Linked DNA regions of Caenorhabditis elegans. The protein of the gene in region 1 interacts with the protein of each later gene in a pairwise test. Each region holds a gene or a part of one and is shown in the gene's direction. Other genes may lie near its edges.

What was found. Proteins that work in one complex are often made in the same cells at the same time.
Region 2: the proteins of sand-1 (region 1) and ccz-1 interact in a two-hybrid assay, tested with the Caenorhabditis elegans proteins (2 studies listed by BioGRID).

The regions. Positions count from the first base shown.
Region 1 is NC_003282.8:5,362,940-5,370,618, forward strand, and holds sand-1 (Vacuolar fusion protein MON1 homolog), read left to right. Parts: upstream 1-3,927; 5' UTR 3,928-3,928; coding exon 3,929-4,119; intron 4,120-4,177; coding exon 4,178-4,332; intron 4,333-4,648; coding exon 4,649-5,001; intron 5,002-5,051; coding exon 5,052-5,458; intron 5,459-5,509; coding exon 5,510-5,783; 3' UTR 5,784-5,926; downstream 5,927-7,679. Other genes in the region: hda-6 (histone deacetylase), read right to left, coding at 1-546, 597-871, 915-1,202, 1,247-1,282; F41H10.4 (GRIP domain-containing protein), read left to right, coding at 1,621-1,794, 1,840-1,965, 2,013-2,160, 2,213-3,054, 3,103-3,216, 3,269-3,431, 3,481-3,641; F41H10.3 (RNA-directed RNA polymerase), read left to right, coding at 6,867-7,052, 7,112-7,165, 7,212-7,292, 7,342-7,491, 7,545-7,679.
Region 2 is NC_003283.11:13,674,352-13,680,814, forward strand, and holds the start of ccz-1 (Vacuolar fusion protein CCZ1 homolog), read left to right. Parts: upstream 1-4,523; 5' UTR 4,524-4,524; coding exon 4,525-4,609; intron 4,610-4,655; coding exon 4,656-4,765; intron 4,766-4,814; coding exon 4,815-5,125; intron 5,126-5,167; coding exon 5,168-5,733; intron 5,734-5,896; exon of another isoform or gene 5,897-6,046; intron 6,047-6,432; coding exon 6,433-6,463. Other genes in the region: F58G11.4 (MFS domain-containing protein), read left to right, coding at 414-830, 874-1,043, 1,420-1,564; tag-65 (CID domain-containing protein), read right to left, coding at 1,764-1,910, 1,960-2,071, 2,121-2,603, 2,653-2,777, 2,827-3,101, 3,151-3,503, 3,551-3,702, 3,753-3,893 and 2 more.

The DNA.
Region 1 (7,679 bases):
TGAGCCAATCTTAGTGAAGTCCGAGACGGAAAATAGTCGAAGCAGTTCCAATGATGTCGAAGAACGGAAACAAGGCTAACACATGAATCAACCGTACTTTCTTTCGGTGCTTCATTCAATTCAATTGAAAATGGAGCATATCCGAGCAGTACTCTCACACATCTTTGAACAGCGACTGCAGAGATTTGATGATTGTAACCTCCTTCCAATACGACCAACATTCTTCCCTGTGCAAGTGATTTCAGATGATATAAAATATGTGAATAACCATCAGGTGTAAGACACATTCCACCTAAAGGATCACCGAGAAGTGCGTCGAATCCAGCAGAGATTATCACAAAATGTGGATCAAACTGAGTTGCAAGAGGAAGTAGAACATGGAAAATAATCGATAGATAATCAGAATCAGTGCATCCAGTTTCATTTAAAGCCAGATTTGCGTTGTATCCCAATCCCTTTCCTGATCCAATATGATCAAAATCTGATTCGGGAAGATGAGGCCAAAAGAGACCATGTTCGTGGCGATGAATTGAGAAATATAGTACTCTGAAATTCATTGAAGAAAATTATTATTTCACTATAAAATCCTTTTTAACCTTTTATCATCATAAAAAATCCGCTGAGTTCCGTGTCCGTGGTGTACATCCAAATCGACAATCAAAATCCGTTCGGCTCCACTGAAAAATGCTTCTTCGGCGGCTTGGGCGACATTATTGAATAAGCAGAAACCACAAGGCGATACAGAATCTGCATGATGTCCGGGTGGCCTGACGACTGCAAAACCATTCGAAGCTTCATTAGCCATGATTCTATTCGTCAAATCTCGAACACACGCGACACCATCTTTGGCAACTTTCATCGAGTTCTGAAACTTTATTCTCAACGTTTTGTGCTTCTTTTTACCCAATTAATACCTCTGTCATAAACACGGAATCATATTTTTCGCACTGTGAATTAATATCTTCTTGTGTTTTCTTTTCAGATTCCATTAAATCTTTAACCATGCTTTTATCGTGGGTTACTTCCAAGTCAGCATCGTCGATCTCCAGAAAATTTGTTAGTACAGTGCATTTTTCGAGTATTTTCGTCTTTGTTAATGCCTCTTTAATCTTCAAAATTCGATCCGAAGACTCCGGATGTGTTGGGCATACTGTATTCTCATGTTCATTTTGAGTTTGATTGAATCCGATGAGTGTTGGACCCTGTAAATAGATTATATGATTGTACGAACATATACTTTTCTTACCGTTGATCGATTTTTCTGCCTATCTTCGAAAAGCATGGAAAACTAAACGATAAATGTTTGAATAACCGCTAAAAGTCTAAAAAATCCTGTGGAAAAAATGTCCTCGTGATGGCCGTGGACTAGAATATTCAACTCAAGGCTACGGCCATCTGTGCACTTTACCGTCAAGTCGCGTGTGTTCTGACCTGTTTTGCATTTTGTTTATGTTTTTTTGTTTTTGTGTTATGCATCAATAAGAGTAATTGGACAAAAACATGAAATATCAAGTTTTCTTTGATTTTTCCAACCGCCTTGTGTAGATTTATAGTTCGTTTTTTAAACGTTTGCTCCTAAACACCCAATTTATGTATTTTACGTTGCAAACTTTTTGCAGAATGGCGACAGAGTCGGGTGGCTTGTCGAAGGAGGAATTCCTTCTTGTTCAAGAGCAACTTTTGCAGCTGAAAAATGAAAATTACGAGTTACGAGAGGAGATTAAAAAGAAGAACGCAGCAGCTTCCCAACACCAAAACTCTCCGAAAAATGAAGCATTGCAATTTGCTAGCAAGGTGAGGAAAAGTTTATTTTTATTATAATTAATTTAAATCTTTCAGTTAATCAACAGAGCATCTTCTTCGAAAAAAGATGAAGCAGAAATTGAGTCGCTTCGGCGGAAACTAGAGACCCAAGAGCAAGAGTTTCGCCTTCAACAATCTACCCTTTTTGAAGAGCTCAAGACAGTAAACTTTACATTTAAAATTCAAGCTTTTCAATGTCCAAATTACAGATATCCACACAAAATGAGACATTAAAGAATCAAATGTCGTCTTATTCTGATCATCCTCTGGAAAAAGAAGCAGAAGAAAGGCAAACAGTGGAACAATTAAAAGAAGCTATTAAAAATTTAACAGACGAAAAAGTTTTGCTATGTCAAGGTAATTTTATTCCAACTTTGTTCAATACAATTAATTGTATAAAAGGTTACAGAAACAATTCCTGCTATAAGCAACAAAGTTACAAGTCTCAGTGAAGAACTTGAAAACTGTCAGACATTGAACGTCGAGCTTGAAGATCGTTTACTCTCAATAACTTCAGAATCCGAAGCTATTCTTAAAATTAAGGAGAAGGTTGTCGAGGAAAATTTGCGAATTAGGAAAGAAATTGAAGAATTACGCAGAGAAAATGAAGGGATTGCTGAAAAAATGAAGGAGAGTAACAATGCAGTGATGGATGAAAATAAAAAGCTTTCTGATGATAATCTGGAATATAGAAAGACAATGTTGAGTCAGAAATCTGAAATTGACAGTTTAAAAGCTGAGAATTTTAAACTCGTCTCTGAAAATCAACTAAATCATGACGTTTCTAAAAACCTTGCTGCTCTACAATCAGAAAAACTAAAGCTGACTGAAATATCTCAACAAGAAATATCAGGTTTGAAAAAAAAGATCGAAGTTTTAAAATCGGAAAATCATCGTCTTTCGTCTCAAATCCAACAGAACACTAATGAAGCTGCAAAGAACCACGAAAAACTTTTAGAAGACCGAGTACTTCTTCTCGAAACTCGTTATCAATTGGAAGTTGATGATCTTAAAAAGAGTTTTGAGTCGGATAAAGAATGTTTCCTTTTGAAAATGACGAGTTTAGAGGAGAAGCTGAAATCAGCGGAAGAAGACAAGAAGCTCGCAGTGAAAAAAGCAATGTCTCTTGTGAAAGAGCTACAAAAATCATTAAAAGAAGAGAGAAAACGAGCTGATTCTTATGAGAGAAAAAGCGAAGAAAGAGCTGGATGGCATGTGGTTCCACCAGAAAATGATAGGCAAAGTAGTCATGTAAGCACATTTAATCAAGGACTAACATATATTCATCAAATTTTTCAGACTTTCGACGGAAACGAAAGTGTTTCATCAATGTCGGCAATCGAATCGGAGAACGTTGAACTTATCACTCGTCTAGCCACGTTACAAAAGATTCATTCGGAAAATGCAGATTCCGTAGGATCTTCTTTGCAGAATTCTTTGAAATATTGGAATAATCATCTTTCAGATTCTCCAACTCGAATCAGAAAATAGTCGCTTGCGACGGGAAGTGACGGAAAAAGGAGAATTAATTGAGAATTTGATCCGCGAAAAACCTCTTGGCACCGGATTTCAACAACAGAATAATCTGGGTTCTTCTTCTTCTTCTTCTGTTCAACCGAAACTTGAAGGTTTAGCTTCTAAAATTTTCATTTTTTTAAATACTGAAAATTATTCCAGCGTCATTCCGAAAACTGCTCAATACACTTGGCCAAGATTCCCGAGATTCAGATGTCCGTGAAATGAACAAAAAGCTGCAAAGAATGCTTGAAGAGACACTTTCTAAAAATATAATTCTTCAGAGAGACTTGCAAACTATTATGGAGAGAACTGGCTTGTAGATTTATATCTTTTTTTAAAATTTCTATTGAATCCGTGTGTGCATATGTAGATATTGTTACTGAAACCATTGCATTTTTTTTTCTGTATTTTTTGCTGAAATTTCAATTGATCTAATTTTCCAATTAAGCATTTTGTATATTCTTTGTGCATAATAATTTTTTAATTTTCAGTTTCCCATATTATTTTTTTATTTTCTCTCTGTCTGGTTCTCATTTTTTGAATCCACAGCAATACTTAATTCTTGAAAAAACATGAAATTTTCAGAAAAATCTCGCCAATTTTCAGAATGGAAGTAGAAGTACCTGGTGGATCAGAAGCTGCCGATACTGGAAGTGAAGCGAGTTATAAAGTGTCACAAGTAGAGATTGAAGATGTTGAAGAGAATTTGAAAAATGCTGATGTGATATTTGAACATCTTGAGCAACTTCCATTTCAGGTGTTTATTCTGAGCGAATTTGGAAAACCGATTTTTGTAAAGTGAGAATTTGCAAATATTATCCATTCAAACACACAAAGCCTTCTTTAAAAATTACAGCAACGATCGAAATGAGGGTGAAATCGTCAGTTTGGTGGCTCTAATTTGTGCATTTGTGAGCCGATGCCAATCTTGGGGTGATAGTTTGATGACGATGACGTCACAGGATAATCACATTCAATTTTTACACAAATCACCGCTTATTTTCTGCGTTGGTAAGAATTTTATGCAATGGAAACGCGCTCCGCCCCCGAAGCATGGGTCTCGTTAGGAATTTACCGGCTAAATCAAGAATTCAAATGTTTTCAGTTCGTTTCGCCGATTTGGCAAATTGCCAAGATTTTTTCGTCTTTTATGCTTTCTGTTACTGTTGGAACGTAAATTTTTCGAAGAGCATAACGTTTGGGTTTACAGTTTTGCCGCCGAACCTAACGAGACCAATTGTTCGGAGGCGGAACTATTTCAATTCGCTGTTTAGCGCGTTTTCGCGTTGATTTCTCTCTTTTTTGATAGAACTTTCAACGATTTCAGTCTCAAAATACCCGGAGCAACTGGATCAACAACTGGAAGTCCTTTTTGAGCAGATTTGTTCGATTCTTTCCAAAAGTCAATTGGAAAATGTATACAAGAAAAAGGGTGACAATTACGATCTTCGAAAACTTCTTCGTGGAACCGATCGTTTAATTGATTCATCGATTTCTTCGTGGAGAGCCTCCCCGATCAATCTTGTCGATTCTTCGATTTCGGCAATTCCAATGAATCCATCAGATCGGGAATTTCTATCAACAACGATGGCTTCATGTCTTGGAGCAGCGAAATTAGATGGTGCTCTTTTCGGAATAATGATTGCGAGAAGGCAAATCGCAGCGATGGTTAGATTTAAGGTGGGATGATAAAAAATAGAGATTAATTTAATTTTTGATTTATGTTTCAGAAATATATGATTCATCCTCGTGATTTGAACATTGTCATCAACCTTGTCTCTGATAATACTCTACAAACAGACTCCCAGAATTGGGTTCCAATCTGTCTGCCACGGTTCAATGACACAGGATTTTTCTACGCCTACATATCGTATCCATGGTGCAATAAAGAGCAAGATATTCCTGTGTGCATTGTGCTTCTTTCGGTGAAACGAGATCATTTCGATGGGCTCAAGGAAGTTCGACAACAAATTGTGACGAAGTTGGAAAATAATCAAAAGTTCTTTGTTAACTTTGCACAGGCGATGAAGACGCCGAATCTTTATCAAATATCACAAATCGGATCGAATTCCGAATCGCTTTGGTCGTTTTTGTATTTAAATCATTCTTCAAAGCAAGTCTGTATGTCAGCCTCAAAGTGAGTTAGCCTCTAAATGTTCCATTAATTATATGCGCTCTATTATTTCAGAATTCCCCTAATAACACGTGACGAACGATGGATTGCTCGTTCAGAAATGCGTCGATCTTCATCATTATCATCTCTCCATCCACATCTTCGAACTCTTTTCGTACGTGGCACCAAACATTGTCTTTTTGTTTGGGTCACTGATCTCTTTTCACTTTACTGCATATTCGGACCATTTGTCACCGCAACAATCGCATTCCAAGTCGTCGAAAAGCTTCTGAAATCGCTGAAATCTCACGAACAACGATATTTTATCATTAATTCAACATCCTTTTAATTTTCAACTGTTTGTAAAAATTGTGATACTTAAAACGTTTACGTGTTTTCTAACCACAGATTTTAATTTGCCAATATATTTTTACTGCCCTTCAAATTGCCAAAAAAGATCAAGTAGAAATTAATAAAGCGAACCTCTCATTCATTACTGTTTACAGCAAGTGTAATACGTCTTAAATGACGTCCTATGATCTAATGTACTTATTAAACAAAGTTATTGGAAAGAATAGGGAAAAGTATCGATTAAAACGTACACATTTCGAATTGATGTTGGGGGAAGCGGAGTGTGTTTGAAGGAGTCTCGCTCGTCTCTATATCTCTGCACTCTCCGCTTCTCACACACTCTTTCGCCGTCATTTCGGCCGTGTCCCCCACTTCGTCGGTTTATTCTACCCGCCTTCTCCTTCACCATCGCTTTTTCCTCGTCCACCAACACGCGCTCTTTGAATTTCTAGCTGATGGCTATGGCAACCAGAAACCTGTGACATTTTAGTTTTGCATGAAAACTTTTTGATTTTCAAACGAAATTTGTTTTCAATGAAGAGAAACGCATAGTATTTTGAAAACTTCCATTTTTCAACGCCTGCCCATTTTTTTAAAATTTGGTTCAACTTTAAAATAGTTTAAAGTTTTTTTTTAAATTTAAGCTCGAGCTTTTTCTCCTCAATTTGTCGCAATTTTTTAATTGTAAAAACAATTTTTTTTTGTAATTAGCTAAACTTATTCCTATAAAAATCCTGAAACGCCGCTTGCACTTTCACTATACGAATAACTCTTTATATTATGTTTTTGATGGGTATTAGAACAATTTAAAAGCACCCTTTCACACATAACAAAAGATTTCTGGGCACGAAAAAAAACAAATTAGCATGGATTTCTATCTGAAAACGCCTGAAAATCGATTTTTTCTGCTATTAGTCCAATGGAGCGCACTTCCTGACCCCATCATTTTTTGTATTTTTTCGAATTTCCCATCGTTTTTAGGCCAAATTTTTTGTATTAATAATCTTAATTTCTAGTTTTCTTTGCTTTTATCTTTTCTTCAAGTCATTTCAATCCTCATATCACTATTTTCAGCTCAAAAATGTCGTACCGCGTGTTTTCACGCGTCGATCCCCATGTGCCATCGACATCCACAGCTCCACAGCGTCGTTTTCAAGAAAACTTGCAAAAATTCAAGCGATTTTTTCCGCCAAACGCACCACCAACACTCTGGGAAGTTTGCTCCTCGAAACAACGCAGCAAATCATTGAAAAACACGTTTCAAACGGTAAGTTGATCAGAAAAAAAAACTGAAGGAACGAAAATCAATCATGTCGAAGCTTGCAGGAAGTACGTGCACTACGAGGACTTAATTTTACAGTATTGCTGAATCCGTACAAAGTAAGTTTTAAGAAATTCCACAAAAGAACCATAAATTTTTGTTCAGAACTATCTCAATGATCTCACAAATCTATCCGGTTTCACCTTCGATGATCTTTGTCAAGCACTTCGATTCTTTGCATTTTATGTGAGTTTTGAGTTTTAAAAAAAATCAGACGAATATTGAAATGTTTCAGAGAAAACAGCCAGTTTTGAAGTCAAATATGGAAGATGCTAACGAATTATTTCGATTAATTGCAAGTTGCATCATTTATTCAAATGATAACTGGAGGGCGTCCATCGATAAATCAACACTAGTGGATACGCTGTCAATGAACATTTTGGAGGTAAAGAAAATGCAAAATATTCCTTCAGAATACAATAAATTCATAATTTTCAGAAGCAGAGGCTTAAGAATCTGAAACAAGAATCATCTGAACAAAAAGATCCAATATACCCACCACTATTCCAAGATGATGAGCTACCTTCTGTTCCAATACAAATTGGCAGATTGAAAGACAGAGAAAAAGTACCA
Region 2 (6,463 bases), on another chromosome or scaffold:
CGAAACAAAGTCTTTAAATTTTTCCGAAAGCTTCCAACAATTTTGAAGGTTCTTTTTATAATTTTAGAAGTTTTCAATAAATGTGTTCAGCATTTCAAAACTTTATAAACTTTTCCAAAAACATGTAAAACTTTTAAAAATATTCCAGGTTTTTATAAAACTCTCAAATTTTTCGGATCCCAAAATTGGATCAGCTTCTTTCCTTGTTTTTTACTCAAAAATTTTAAATTTTAATTCAGAATTTCTATAGAACCACTACAGTAACCTGGAATTATCTTCCTAACTCCAACTCGTTATCACTTCAAAAGACAACACTTTTTAGTCTAAAAACTATGAACATACGGAATAATTGATTTATATATAGTTGATGATTCCATTTTTCCATTTTAAAAAAAATTATATAAAAAATTCAGGAAGACGATGAAAATTGGCCTCGACCAGATAAACTTGCAATGTTCGTCTGCATGCTGACAAGATATTGCCAAAACTTTACATATTATGCAATTGAAACACTTGCTCCAGCATTCATGATGATGATGTTTAATATGGAAAGAGATTCTGCAGTCGGTACAATGTCCATTATTTTCTTCATCGCCGGAGTCTTCGCACTATCTCTCTACAGTACTTTTGTCTTCACGGATGTTGCTCGAAAATTGAATATTGGAAAAGTGAATACAATTAGTTTGATAATATTTATCATATATGTTCTAACAACATATCAATGGCCGTATATTCCAACGAATGTAGTTGTGAATACAGATGGAACTCACGGAGGATGTGATTATTCATTATATTCATGGTGTTTAGGACTTCCAAAAACATCTCAAGCGGTGCGATAATTCTCAGGGTTACTGTAATTTGACGATTTTACAGTTCTTCTACATTGGATATATTATAGCTTTTGGTGGTTGTGTCCCATTTATAAATGTTGGAGATGCCACGCTTTATTCAAAACTATTCAATCCAGTTGGCCAAGCATTGGAGCAAAGTCTCTATGACGTTTCCCAAGTTTTTGCGAGAGTTGTAGCTCCTGTTCTTTGCACGTAAGCTTGAACTTCGAAGGAAATGCTCTGCTAAAAAATATTTCACTTGGTAACTCGACACGACAAAATTTTGTTAACTAAAAAATGTGTGCCTTTAAAAAGTACTGTAATTTCAAACTTTGAATGCTGCGCATAATTTATCTATAAAATATGCTTATTCTCTAAAAAACTCAAATAAAACGATACAAATCGTATCAAATCTGTGAGAAAAACTTTGAAGAATCTATGAAAATTCCGCATCTTTGAAATTACAGTATTCTTTAAAGGCGCACGCTTTTTTGCAATCAGCAAAATTTGTCGTATCGAGACCGGGAACAGTAGTTTTATGCGGAAGAATAGCAAACTCCGCGCCTTGGTAGTATTTGTTTTGTTTCAGAGCAATATACGCATCATTTGGTCCTCAAAGAGTTTGGGAGCTTTTATTCGCCCAGTTAGTTGTCGTCACTGCTCTCTGGATAGCTTTTGCCCATCGAATGATCCCACTTCGCCCCAAGCCACGTCCAGTCTTCTACCTTGAATAATTCAATCTCATGCTTCAACTCACAAAAGATTGTGAATGTCTGTAAAAAAATAGACGGCTACGTCGCCAATCATCGCTTCGCATTAGCTTTAATAATGTGTATGTTTCGGAGATCATTTTAATGATGATAAAATAAACAAATTAATGATTTCTCAACAATTATTGCATAACAAAAAAAATAAATTTAAAACGTAGAGATTCTATTTTCGGTGAAAACTTCCTCGGTCGTGGTATGTTCCAGATCGTTGTTTTCTGAACTGCTCATATGGATCAAGTGAACGACCAAGGCCCATAAATTGCTCATTTCTATTACGAACTTCTCCACCAGACACAGGATCAACGATTCCCTGAAAAATTGGAAAATTATTTCTGAAAAATAAATATTTTGATTCTTACACTTTCATTTGCTCCCAATCCTTTTCCTCCCCAACCCATTTTAGCCATAAGTTGGGCACCTTTGTTATCGTACGAGAGTGGTTCCTGGGCAGATTTGAATCCAAACGAAGGTCTGGAAATATAATTTTTAATATCAACATTTTTTTATTAATCAAACAAACCTTTCACTGAAACCTCCTCCGCCGTATCCTCGCTGTCCAATGTTACTGTCTCTTCCTCTTTCCGGAGACGATTTTCTGCTAGAAGAAGAGGATCTTGACGAAGAACCCGAAGACCTAGATGAATTCGATGAAGATCGTTGTCGTCTTCTCGGGCTTGGACTTCGTGACGGCGACCTCGATCTCTTGTGGTCTCTAGGAGGGGATCGTGAATTGGAACGCCTCGCCTCGGAATCTTCTCTTAAATTTTCGGGTGGCTCCTGTGAAGCATAGTATGCGTCGACGCATTTACGAATTTTTTCAATTTGATCTTCTTCTTTCAATTTTCTTGTTTTGTCAAATCGTTCTCGATCAGTTGCAGATGGTCGATTTGTGATAAATTCTTCGACAGAACATTTTTGTTTTTCTTCGAATGTCTTTTTAATACGTGCCTTTTCTTCCAAAAACTCAAGAGGGTATTTCAAGTTGGTCGGATCTTCGGTGATTCTGTAAATAATTAATTTAATAAAAAATTGAATTGATTTTGAGAACGTACGCTCCATCGGCCAAAGCAATATCCATTTCGACACCTTTGTGGAACATATTCTTAGCAGCAAGTAGTCTTGATGACGGTGGAACTGATGCTGGCATTTCAAGTTCTTCTGGGTCCAATGGTTCATACTTGAATCAAATAAAATATAAATTGACAAAATATCGGATCATAACATACCATGACACTATTCATCGAAACTAGTGGAGTCATAATTCCAGCCGGTAAAGCCATATACGATTTCTGTGGCTTCAAATTTTCCTCATCAAACGGCATTCCATCAATATCTTCTCCATCGTCCTGCTGGTCATTTTGATTCCATGTGTTCGAAACAGAAGCGTGTGGTCGTTCAGCTGAATGTTTTGGAGCTTGATCAAATCTTGATCTTCTCATGTTTGACAGTGGAGCATTAGGATGATGCGATGCAGGTCCGGATGATGGCCCATGACGAAACTCTGTAAGAACCAATTTTTAAAATTTTCAGACTAAATTTCTATTTCTCACCATCAATTTTTCTCTCAACTTCGTCAATTTGTCTTTGAATATGCTGGGAATATGTGACATGCTGTTGTTCATATCCATCAAACGTTGCCATCAGATTACTTCGAATCGACTCCCGAATTGTTCCATAAGATGATTTTTCAATTTCTCTGTCAGTGCTAACAATTTGAACTGTATTCCTGAGTTGTTTGAATACAGAATCAGCGAAATATTGTCGACCTTCCCATTCTCCTAAAAGCTTTCCTTCTAACTTGTTGCTCAACTCACTCGACGAAGAAAGTTCTATACAATATGCATACATTTTTGGAACGTATCGAGCCAGCATTTTCATTTGATTTTCTTCTTTTTTTCTTTGACTGAAATTTGGTATTTAACGACGTTTTGTTCAGTATTCTAAGCTTACCAATGAAATGCCCAATCATTGATTAAATATAGAATATGAAGTCGTAGATATTCTCCAGATGCTTCATCTTTAACTTTATTTAACAGAAAAGACAGTATTATTTCTCTCAGCTGATCGCTTGTGCAGTATTCGAAAATCCACTTTTTCGCTTGCTGAAGAAAATTTTTCGTCAAATTTCTTTATTTTTTGAAAAATTACTTACTGAAATCAAATCTTTAGAGCATTTCGGTGTAGCCATTGCATCTAAATAGGAATTGAGATCTTCCACGTTCAGATTATTCTGACTCAACATCTTCTCAATTTTCATTGTTTCAGAAGTTCGAATAGCAGATTTAAGATGTGCCTGGATAAACGTGGATACAAGATTGTATGTTTGCAAAACACACCATTAGGAGCTCGTCCATTCCATTTCTGTGAGCGTTCAAATTCTGCTCACTGTCGATAATCTTTTGACGTAACTCATCGATTTTCTTGCGCCATTCGACAATCTCTGGTGGATCCATCAGAGAAGGAATCGACTGCCGTTCTGAAAAGTCAAAAATTAATGATTTACAATCTTGAAACGTTTAAAAGATTCAAACCTGGTGGAGGGAAGTCCCTAGGGAGTGGAATATCGCCACTGCGCCATGATTGACCGTGCTGAGAGCTACTGCCACCTCTCCAGCTAGAATTTTCATTCATGTCGTCTAAAAGTTATATGTTTATATGATCAAATATTTTATCTCTTTCTTGTGACAAATAAACAATATATATATTCTGCATGGTTTTGCAGAAAATTTGCGGAGGATTTAAAAAATAAATCGAGACATGCGCCAGTGATCAAGTTTTGCGTCAGTGAACAACGTTTGCGTCAATCATTTATGTCTGCTACCCTCCTAGTCTCACACACTCTTTTTCTCTCTTTTATTTTATTTTATTTTTAATTTTAATTTTAACACTGCACGGTACAAAACATATATTTTGCTTTTTTCAGAATGGAGTCGATTGCAAATCCATTGTATTTCTTCTCCAACTTGTCATTAAACCCGCCATCCTGCTCTAATGTGGTCAGATTCATTGGTAATTGAATTTTAATTAAAAAAACGAAATAATTATGTTTTTACAGATGTCCTTGAATTCTTTTTCGTGGCGCATCCATTATCAGGACGAAAAGAAGGCGAAGAACATAATCGTGTGATGTATTTTCATCCGAAAGGCGAGCAATTAGAGAGACAGGTTTTCAATATCGTAATACTTTTTATTCTAATAACTGTATTAATTTCAGACCGAAATAACAGGATTCGCAGAAGCCGTTGTTAACTTTACAGAAAATTTCTTGAGCACCTCCCGTCGGGAAATCAGTGAAAGAATTAGTGAAAATGAAGATGGTTTCGATTTCCGAACTGTGACGACGCAGAGAACAGAGCACGTTTATATTCGTACAGAAGACGATCAATTTATTCTTGGAGTATCAATTTCTAAACAATTATCATTGGTTTCTGATTATCCTCTATTTCAACCAGCGATTAGGAGTATACTTTCCGATGCCTACAAAATGTTTCGAATGTTTTTTGGAACTTTTTCTTCTTTTATCAAGTAAGTTAAAGTCTAGTTTATAAAAATAAAAATATCTTTCAGAAATGTTCCCGACGACATTCCAAAATTCAAAGAACGCCTTGATTTTTTCTTCTCCAAGTACATCCCACTACTGAAAGTTCACAAAATGCCACTACTTGATCATCTTGGAGGCGTCGAATTTCTACGAATGTCTGGTCCTCTCTACTTGAACGTTGTTTCTTTACTTTCCGAACTTCGTGAAGAATTCCAAGTTATCGAGAAAATAATGTTCTTGTATCAAGATAAACTTCTCTACTATCAACTTTCGAAACGCGATCTTCCATCACTATTTCATTATTTGACACATAATTTGCTTCCAACAACATTGGCTCCAGAACTTGAACATTCTGGAAGAAATGCTTCAAAAGGAAGATATCTACGAGGACCAACAGATTTAACAACAGATGCTCCGTTGCTCGGTGATGAGTCACTTTCTGTAGTTCATTTGCATTCCGATCAAGGAACTGAATTTCAAGAAGAACTCATCGGATACCAGATGATCGTTTATCGATGTCTAAATGCAACAGTTTGCATGTTTGTCAGAAATTGTCCAGCAAATGGTGGATTAGAAATCAGAAGGGATTCTGGTGAGTTTTTAAAAATAGTTTTTCGAAACGAAACGTTCTTATTACGTTTTGAGAATAAATTGAAAATAAAAAAGCGATTTTCAACTCTTGCTAATCTGCTAATTTGAATTGCCGCTCTTTTGTATCTAAAATCCACCCGTAGAACCGTGCCGCGCCTCGTTTTTTTGCAATTGTACCGCAAATTTGTCTTTTTGTGTTGTTTTTTTATTCTTAATATAGAAAAATGGCATAAATGATCAAATATATTTTTTTGTATATCAAAAGAATTAAAAAATCGTATCGAACCCGAAAAAAGTACATGTTCCTGAAATTCTAAACACAAGGAAACGTTTTTAAAAATGATTTCTAAATGCTTTTGAAATAGGAAAAATATTTTTGAACATTTTTGAATTTTTCTTCATTAAAAATTAGTCAAGAAACACAAAAAAGAAGAATTCGTGTCGAAATTGAAAAAAAAAGTCGAAGTGCGGCACGGTTCTATGGGCGGAGTTTAGAGACAAAAGCGTGGTAATTCAAATAAAGGGATTAGCAAAAGTTGAATTTTCATCAAAATCAGATTTTTTCCAAATTTGGTGGATTTTTCTCATCTTTCTTATGTGATATTTCGGCACATTAAACTACTTTTAAGGTAATATCTACATTTTCCGAACTCCACCTTTAAACAAAATAAATCTTTTTCCGACTTATTTTCTTTTCCAGAATCATCTCAATCATCTCGCGCCACTCCTTC